2 linked regions of the Sus scrofa genome follow. The protein of the gene in region 1 interacts with the protein of each later gene in a biochemical or structural test. Links are inferred from orthologs where the notes say so. Each region holds a gene or a part of one and is shown on either strand. Other genes may lie near its edges.

Region 1 (3,513 bases):
AGAGAGATCCCTCTGCTTTTGAAATTCCCAATTCTCATCCACACCAACACCAAGCAGCTGGCACAAGCTAAGCTGGTGCACAAGGACCACCACCTTGCTGCTTTCGACCTGCCTTCTTACTCTACACAGCCCACTTCGAGTTCATCGAGACCCCTCTCTACAGCCCCTCGTGGACGCCCGCACTCGCTCCTGGCCAAGTCCCCACTCGGATGCCATGGGTGGGTGTGTGGAAGTGCAGGGCCCTCAGCCGGCCGCGCCCTGGGAACAGGGTGCTGCCACCCCAGCTCTACTAACAACAGCAGTTTTCCCCTCATGGTGCACCAGCTCAGAGCCCCCTCCCCGCCTGCTATGTCCCTCTCCTGGGCCAGGAACCTACAGGTGACCACTTCTGCTATTCCCCACTCCCCGATCAGCAATCAGGCAAGCCCCTAAAAGACCTGAATTAGAAAGTCATGTAAGCTTACTCGCCGGGACATTATGAATCTAGAATATTAAAATATCATCTGTGAGGTAATGAGATACTTAAAAAATCTCCTTTACACAAATGTTTACAAACCTCCAGCTCATTTTCGTCAAAAATTTTAATCAAATCAATAGGAAGCAGTTCCGTGAATCCCTGAAAGGAAAAAAAAAATCATTCTTAACACCTTTTTCCTTGAAAGAGACATTTCACAGGATAAACTTTTTTCAGTTAGCTAGAAAAATACATTGTTCACTGATGATTTGCAGCTATCAGTAGTTGGTAATTTCAAATAAAAACAGCATAGTCACAATGTAAAATTTTGAAAAGCAGTAGACTCAAGCAGATTCAGGCACTTGAGTAATTTTTGAAACATTATGAAAATAGGGGTTGCTGCAGGCAGGTGGATTCCAAAAGCCACTTATGACACACCACTGTGACTCAGGGTGTCCTCAGAGGCACAGGCATGCAAGTGAGCCATTCGAGAATAAGGTCTGGGAGGCATACAGATGAAAGAGGAGAGGAAGCAGCGTGGTCAGGAGAGAGGAGACAGGGAGTACAGAAAACCTGCCCCAGGTCCCAGGTTAGTGATCACTGACCAATGCGGTGACCCAGCACGGACGCTCCACGTTGCCCAGCCTGGTGTGTGGCTGGTTTCTGAGTGTGTGATTACCTGGGTGGGCCAGGTGGGATGAAACCTGCTGTTCTTGAGTGCGTCTAACTCGCAGGTTACACCCTACGTCCTGGAATTTTTTTTGAGCGTTCTGCCTGGGTTGGCGCTTTGTTCACCATGTGCAGGGAGCTGAGCTGGGGTGGGCTTAAGAGAGCATCGGCCAACAAGAACTCTGCCTTGGTTCACTGGAAGCTTATAATGTAAACCTGGGGCTTTAATACCCGTCATCAGGATTTTAAAAGGAATTGCACTTTGGGTCAAAGGGAGCTATTTTTAAAAACCCCTACTTTCTGCAATGGGCTTCTCCTCAGGTCCTGGGAGCATCGCTGACATCAAGCACTTGAATCTGAGAAGTACGTGCTTCTCCCTTGAATAGGGTGGAGAGTAACTCAGCCACAAGGGAAGGACAGGAGAGTTAAAAATGTTTGAGGAATTCCCACCATGGTGCAGTGGGTTAAGAACCCAACTGCAGCAGCTTGAGTTGCTGCGGAGGTGTGGGTTCAATCCCTGGCATGGCGCAGAGGGTTAAAGGATCTGAGTTGCCGCAGCTGTGGTGTAGCTTACGACTGTAGCTCAGATTCAATCCCTGGCCCGGGAACTTCCATAAGCCAGGGGTGTGGCCGCAAAAAAAAAAAAAAAAAAAAAAAAAGTCCAACGAATGAAGGGGAAGGCACTGTTCCTGGGGAGTGAAGGCCTGGCTGGACACTGCCCTGAGTCCTCACATTTCCTAGATCAAGGGAGCCCAAGACAGAGATGCTCCCAGCCTTCCCTGGGTGCCGCCTAAAACTGCAGGACGATGGTTCTAGCCTCCGTGGGGGAACCTGCTTTTCTGGAGCAAGTATAAAAATGTCTCTTTAAAAACAACACAAATTAAAAAGTGAGAGCGGTAAAGCCAGAAAACACTGAACAAAAGAAAACAAAAGGGTGGCGGGACGCTCCTGTGCTGGAGCCTGGAAATGGTGTGAATAGGGTAGTCCTGCCCTTTCTGCCCGGCCCCCGGCCCCCAGGGATCACCTTCGCCCCCACCTTCACCGCCCAATGAAAAGAGTTGCCCTCTCTCAACGAAAGGCACAGGCGGGAATTCCTAGCGAGCACAACTCACCTCCAGGAAGGCGTTCATTTGCTTCTGGACCCTGTTCACAAATCTCCACTGGATGACGAGGCTGCGGGAGGAAAAGGCAGCAGCATTTAACCATCTTCCTCATCACTGTGTGCCTTTCTTTCCTCACAACTGCAGGGACCTCTCATCAGGGGAAGGAGAAAAGCCCTAGAGAGGCCACGGAGAGAGGGGGCCTGCTGCTGGGGGACTGCTGCTGATATACTGATTTCTTTTTTGACGGGGTGGGGGTGGGTGGGAAGGGGGTGGATAACAAACATATATGACGAGCCTACAATCTCAGCGGGGATTTCACAAGAAAGACCGGTTCCCCCGGCCCTTAGTTTATCAAAGTTGCCTAATAAATGTAACTGCATGGAGAAAAGGGAAAATGCCGTTTGAATACATATGTCTGTGTACAAAACACACGCACACAAACTCACACATGTACACACCCAGACATGTACAAATGTACATATTTTAGGGGGAGTACCCAGTACAATGTATTTTATTGTATGATACTTCATTCTAGTATCATACAATAAAATACACTGATTTTCAATGACGACATAATTTATCAGCACTTTACCACTAATACTTTAATACCAACATTCGGAGGATTAATGGTAAACCCTTTTTGAGTAACAGAAATCCACTCGAAGCATCTTCCCTGCAACACTGTTCAGTGTACAGTGGAATTTACTGCCAGGCGAATCCACTTTGGATTCCATCTATGGTGCTTTGTCATGAAATAGCACAAGGACCTTGTCATAAAGGGCTCTGGCTTACGAGGTGGCGCCATGGCAACAGCCCTTGAGGACCAGCCTGCTGCCCACCCACTGTTCAGCATATCAAGTTTTATTGGCTGCGCTGCCATCAGCTCAATAGCCTGCTTGCACCAGGGGGTACAGGTGGCAGGGAGCAGCTGCAGGCTTCAATCATCCTTTCCGCAGTGAGGCAAGTGAGACTCTGCCCAGCCCCGCTCCCCACCCAATTTGAAATTTAAAAGAAATCACTGCCAAGAATGACACACAACACATATCACAAGGTCCAAATCCTCAGACTTTCGAACTGAGTCACTCTGGGGTGGAGTGATATTAAAAATCTATTCAAAGTCTGTACTTTCAAATGGAGACAATGGTGTCTGCTAGGACATCGTCTGCCTGCTAAGTTCAGAACAAGCGCCAATTAATATGAACAGGTAAGAACTGCAGGATCTTCCTTCTAGTTTTATATTAAGCACAGTAAGCTTTCAACTCCCAAGTGGAGAAGCAGCTCATGCCT
Region 2 (4,156 bases), on another chromosome or scaffold:
CTAGACATTTGAGTGATTGAGGGATAGCTCTGTCTGGAGGTAGGAGGCTGGAGGCTGAAATGATGACTGAAGTGGTTTTTTCCCAGTTTTTGGACCCCTCAGGTCTATGACAATTTCTGCAAGTAGACAGATACAGGTTTCCCGGAAAGGACTGAGCAAGAAGTCTGCACGATTACTTTATGACTCTTAAAAAAGTTGGAGTTTCATGTTGAGGACTAGAAGAGGTTTAGGTGGGTGGTAAGAATGCTTGTTTTCCTGGTTAGTTGGATATGCCACTGGCTTTATGTCTTCTGTTGTCCGGTGGTAAATGAAGCCACACTGTTGCTATGGAAAAGGATGGCAGTTTGGGATAATTTAGAGTGGCCCAGGGAAATCTGGGCAGTTGCTTAGTGTACCACACCTAGTATATGTTACACTACACATATCTCTTCAGTTTCCTGCAACTGAAATGACAAATAAGTGAGAAACTGAATTGTAATTTGATGGCTTAACTAAAAAAAATTAATCTTGGTAAACACGATAAATAAAGAAGAGTTCCGAAGAATTAGAGGGATTATTATTAAAATCTTATGATTTGAATAGCATTTATATTGTCGCTGAAGAAGCTGCAGCCGTCCTCAAAACTTTTAATATAATTTCCGACAGCAAAAATTCTAAATCCAGTCTAATTCAGTAGTAGAGGGTTTATTCCCATTGATTTCTCACATTAGAAAGCCTCTTAGACGTTGGTTGGTTTTACCTGTCACGAAATCCACTGTATCACTTTTATAAAACACTTCTTTCTATAAAAAGTGACTGGAAGAATCGAAAATTGTAAAATTGCACGTGCCTGAGCAGAAAACTCCAATCTTGGGATTTTCTCACAGGCGTGCCTAAACCGACCTCTGCTCCTAGCAGGTAAATTGCCAGAGGGGGAAGCCAGGGTCAGCCCAAAGGAAACCCTGTTGTGGGATTTCTTTCTTTCTCCCTTAAACTGATCACTTTTTAGGAGGAGTTCCCTCGGTATTCACTAGTCCAAAGTCCTGGCACCAGATTACCATCTTTTTTACCAAACTGCCCCCGCTTTCCCAAAGCCCTTTTGGTAAGAACTTCCCCTCGCGGTCGCCCTATTCCCGACAGTTCCCAGCGCCCCCAGTCTCGGGACGGCTTCCCCTCTTCAGCCCAGGATCCAGGGGTCCCCCAGACTCCTCCGGAGAAAATTCACAGCCCTTGCCCCCTGGCCCCGCGTCCCGACGAGGCGCCGGGGTGGGGGTGGGGCGGGGAGGGGCCGGGCTTCCCGGGGTCCCCGGGTGCTCCTGGCGCCCCCCGGAGGTGTGCCCGGGGAGGGGAGCGCGGGTGGGTGGGACCGGCCGGACGGGGTGGGGGAGGGGGAGGAGGAGTGTGTGTGCGAGCGTGTGTGGCTGGGGGAAGCCATTGCCTGTTTAATAGTTGCTGTTGCTGCACTTCCGCTTCTCTCCCAGCGAGAGAGACACGAGTGGCCAGGCCCAGCCGCAGCCGCAGCAGCAGCCGCCGCGGCGGCACGGAGCAGCCAGACACAAAGAGAGGTACGGGGATCCCCCCCGCCGCCTGCCGCCCCCCGGCCGCGCCGCCGGGCTTCGGGGACACCCCTCGCCGCCGCCCCCGACCCGCGCCGCCCGGGCCGCCGGGCACGGGGCCGGGGGCGCGGAGAGGGGCTAGGGAGCTCCGGGGGTCCGGGCCCGCCCGCGGGGGATGGGCAGGGCCCCGGGCCGCGTGGGGTGCGGGGCCGCCCGCGTCGGGGGCGGGGGGCACAGGGCTCGAACTGTCAGCGCTGCCCCGGGAGCCCCCCGCTGGCCGCCGAGGGGCCGGGAACGGGGGAGGGGAGGCGGGGAGCCCCGTTTTCCCCTGGGGCGGGGGCCCGTGGGGATTAACCCCTCCGGGGCGCACGGGCTCATTGTTATTCCTCAGCAGAGGAGGCCGAGTCCCCCCCTCACCCCCGCCCCCACCCGGGGTGCCGATCGGGCGTGTGCCTGGGACCCCCGCCCGGGCCGCGCAGACCCGACCCGCACGGTCCGGGGGCTGGCTGGCAAGGGGCGTCGGGGCGCGGCGGGGGCCTCGGGCCTCGTCGCTCCTACCCCCCTCCGGCCTCTCCCTTCCCCCACGCGGGCCCCCGCTGCCCGCCTCCGTCCCCCCGTTTCGGCTTCCTCTCTTACTCCTCTCCGCCCTCCTCTCCTCCTGACCTCGCCAAACTCGGCGGCTGGCCCCCAGCTCCCCTACGACCCCCGGAAAGCCGCCGAAAACAGCCCGAGGCCGGCTGGCCGCCGGGACCTTCCCTGCCCGCCCCGGCCGGGCGCCCCGCACCCCCGCCCGCCGGCTGCTCCTCTCCCCGCCCGGAGGGGAGCCCCGGGGGGCGAGGGAGGGGCTGCTCTCTGCCCTCCCAACCGTTTTCCCACCACGTCCCCCACATGGGGCCCCGAATAAACAAACAAGCCGCGTCCAATTTGCAAAAGCCATGATGGGCCCGAAGACTTTGAAAAGCGAGTGGAGGGCGGTGGGCGGCTGGGTGCACCCCCGGCCGAAGCCCTCCTGACAGCGCCCGAGTTCCTTATTTACACTGGCTGCATGGTTTGTGTTTCTGTTTTGTTTCCCTCCCCCTGCAGGGGCTGTTTGCGGGGTGGGGTGGGGGGTTCGCTATGTCGGATGACGATTCGAGGGCCAGCACCAGCTCCTCCTCATCTTCGTCCTCCAACCAGCAAACCGAGAAAGAAACAAACACCCCCAAGAAGAAGGAGAGTAAAGTCAGCATGAGCAAAAACTCCAAACTCCTCTCCACCAGCGCCAAGAGGTACGGTACCCCCTCCCCACCCCCACCCCCAGCAGGCTTCCTATTTCCCAAACTGCCTCTTGCTGCATTTGGTCTGCCTCCATGAGGGTAGCTTAACCGCTCCTCATGGTTTATATGTTCTTAAAGAGGAGAAAAGGGGCCTTGGAGGCCCTAATTGTTTTTCTCGGTGCCTTCTTCTGTTTTTTCTTTTAATCACTGTCCACATGCAGCTGTTGTGGCTTGCCTCTCCCATATCTTGCTGAAGTTTGTAAGAATTTTCATTACTATTATTAGTGACCACCGAATCTGATTTCACATTACTTGTCCTGTTAATCACTAATCTGTGACCCTTCTCAAGGCTGTCATCCCACTTCTTACTAATACCTACCCAGACAGTTCTATCACAATGAATTCTATTACCGTCTTACTTCTCACCTGTTGCACTTATGAACTGTTTTGAATAGAGCTTTCTCCACAGATTGCATGAGGAATAAATAACTCATTTTGGCAGAGTAAAAACTCTAATGGGTAGAGATAGATGTTTTCGGATGGAATTTAAAGAGATTTTTTAGATTTAGAGAGTTGAGGCAAGTGAATGAATCAATAGGTGATGTAAAATGGCTATTCTAGGCTATTTTGGGGATTCTTGTTGTTCTCTTTGAGAACCTCAATTTACCAAATTTCAGGGAAACTCAAATTTTTTTCATGGTATTTCATTGTTGATTTTTAAGTTGAATTCAAGCAGTGGTTCTTTTTCTTTGCTCTCTTCCTCTTATGTCTCTGGAAGAAGCTACTTTTTAACCTCCATTATCCTTCAGTAGTGTCCTCTGATTCCCATGACCCTTAAAGTATCTATAGTAGATTCCTGGGAACCCCTATAGTTTATAAATCCTGCTGTCGGTTGTAGAGTCATTAAACTTTAAGGTGGCAAACCAGAAAGACAGTAAGGAATCCAAATGGTGGGTTAGCTGGAGATACCTTTCTTTTTTTCTTTTTACTGTTCTTTCTTTTTTTTTTTTTAGGGCCCCACCCTTGGCATATGGAGGTTCCTAGGCTAGGGGTCCATTCACCATAGCCACAGGAAGGAGGGAACGGAGCGGGTCCTTAATGAACTGAAGGAGGCCAGGGATTAGACCTGTGTCCTCATGGATGCTAGTCAGATATGATTCCGCTGAGCCCCTGAGGGGAACGCCGAGATACCTTTATTAAAACAATGTAAAGTAAAAGGGAACTTGATGCTTTAAATCTCTTCACTGAGTAGTGTGCCAAATAGAGTTTGAAAGTTTGTCCTGTTACTCTCCCTGACTTGAAATTTGGTAGGTTGGTACGGTGTTTTGGTGACCTCACCCTAGGAGGATGAAGGGATGACTTGCG

Evidence for each region. The genes of interacting proteins can lie anywhere in the genome.
Region 2: the proteins of NEDD4L (region 1) and ubiquitin-conjugating enzyme E2 E1 form a complex in vitro, tested with the Homo sapiens proteins (2 studies listed by BioGRID). The link is inferred for Sus scrofa from reciprocal best matches to the Homo sapiens genes NEDD4L and UBE2E1.

Annotation. Positions count from the first base shown.
Region 1 is NC_010443.5:162,377,313-162,380,825, forward strand, and holds part of NEDD4L (E3 ubiquitin-protein ligase NEDD4-like), read right to left. Parts: intron 2,297-3,513; coding exon 2,236-2,296; intron 617-2,235; coding exon 557-616; intron 1-556. UniProt on the Homo sapiens protein: E3 ubiquitin-protein ligase that mediates the polyubiquitination of lysine and cysteine residues on target proteins and is thereby implicated in the regulation of various signaling pathways including autophagy, innate immunity or DNA repair.
Region 2 is NC_010455.5:10,604,481-10,608,636, forward strand, and holds the start of ubiquitin-conjugating enzyme E2 E1, read left to right. Parts: upstream 1-1,356; 5' UTR 1,357-1,544; intron 1,545-2,618; 5' UTR 2,619-2,651; coding exon 2,652-2,803; intron 2,804-4,156. UniProt on the Homo sapiens protein: Accepts ubiquitin from the E1 complex and catalyzes its covalent attachment to other proteins. Catalyzes the covalent attachment of ISG15 to other proteins. Mediates the selective degradation of short-lived and abnormal proteins.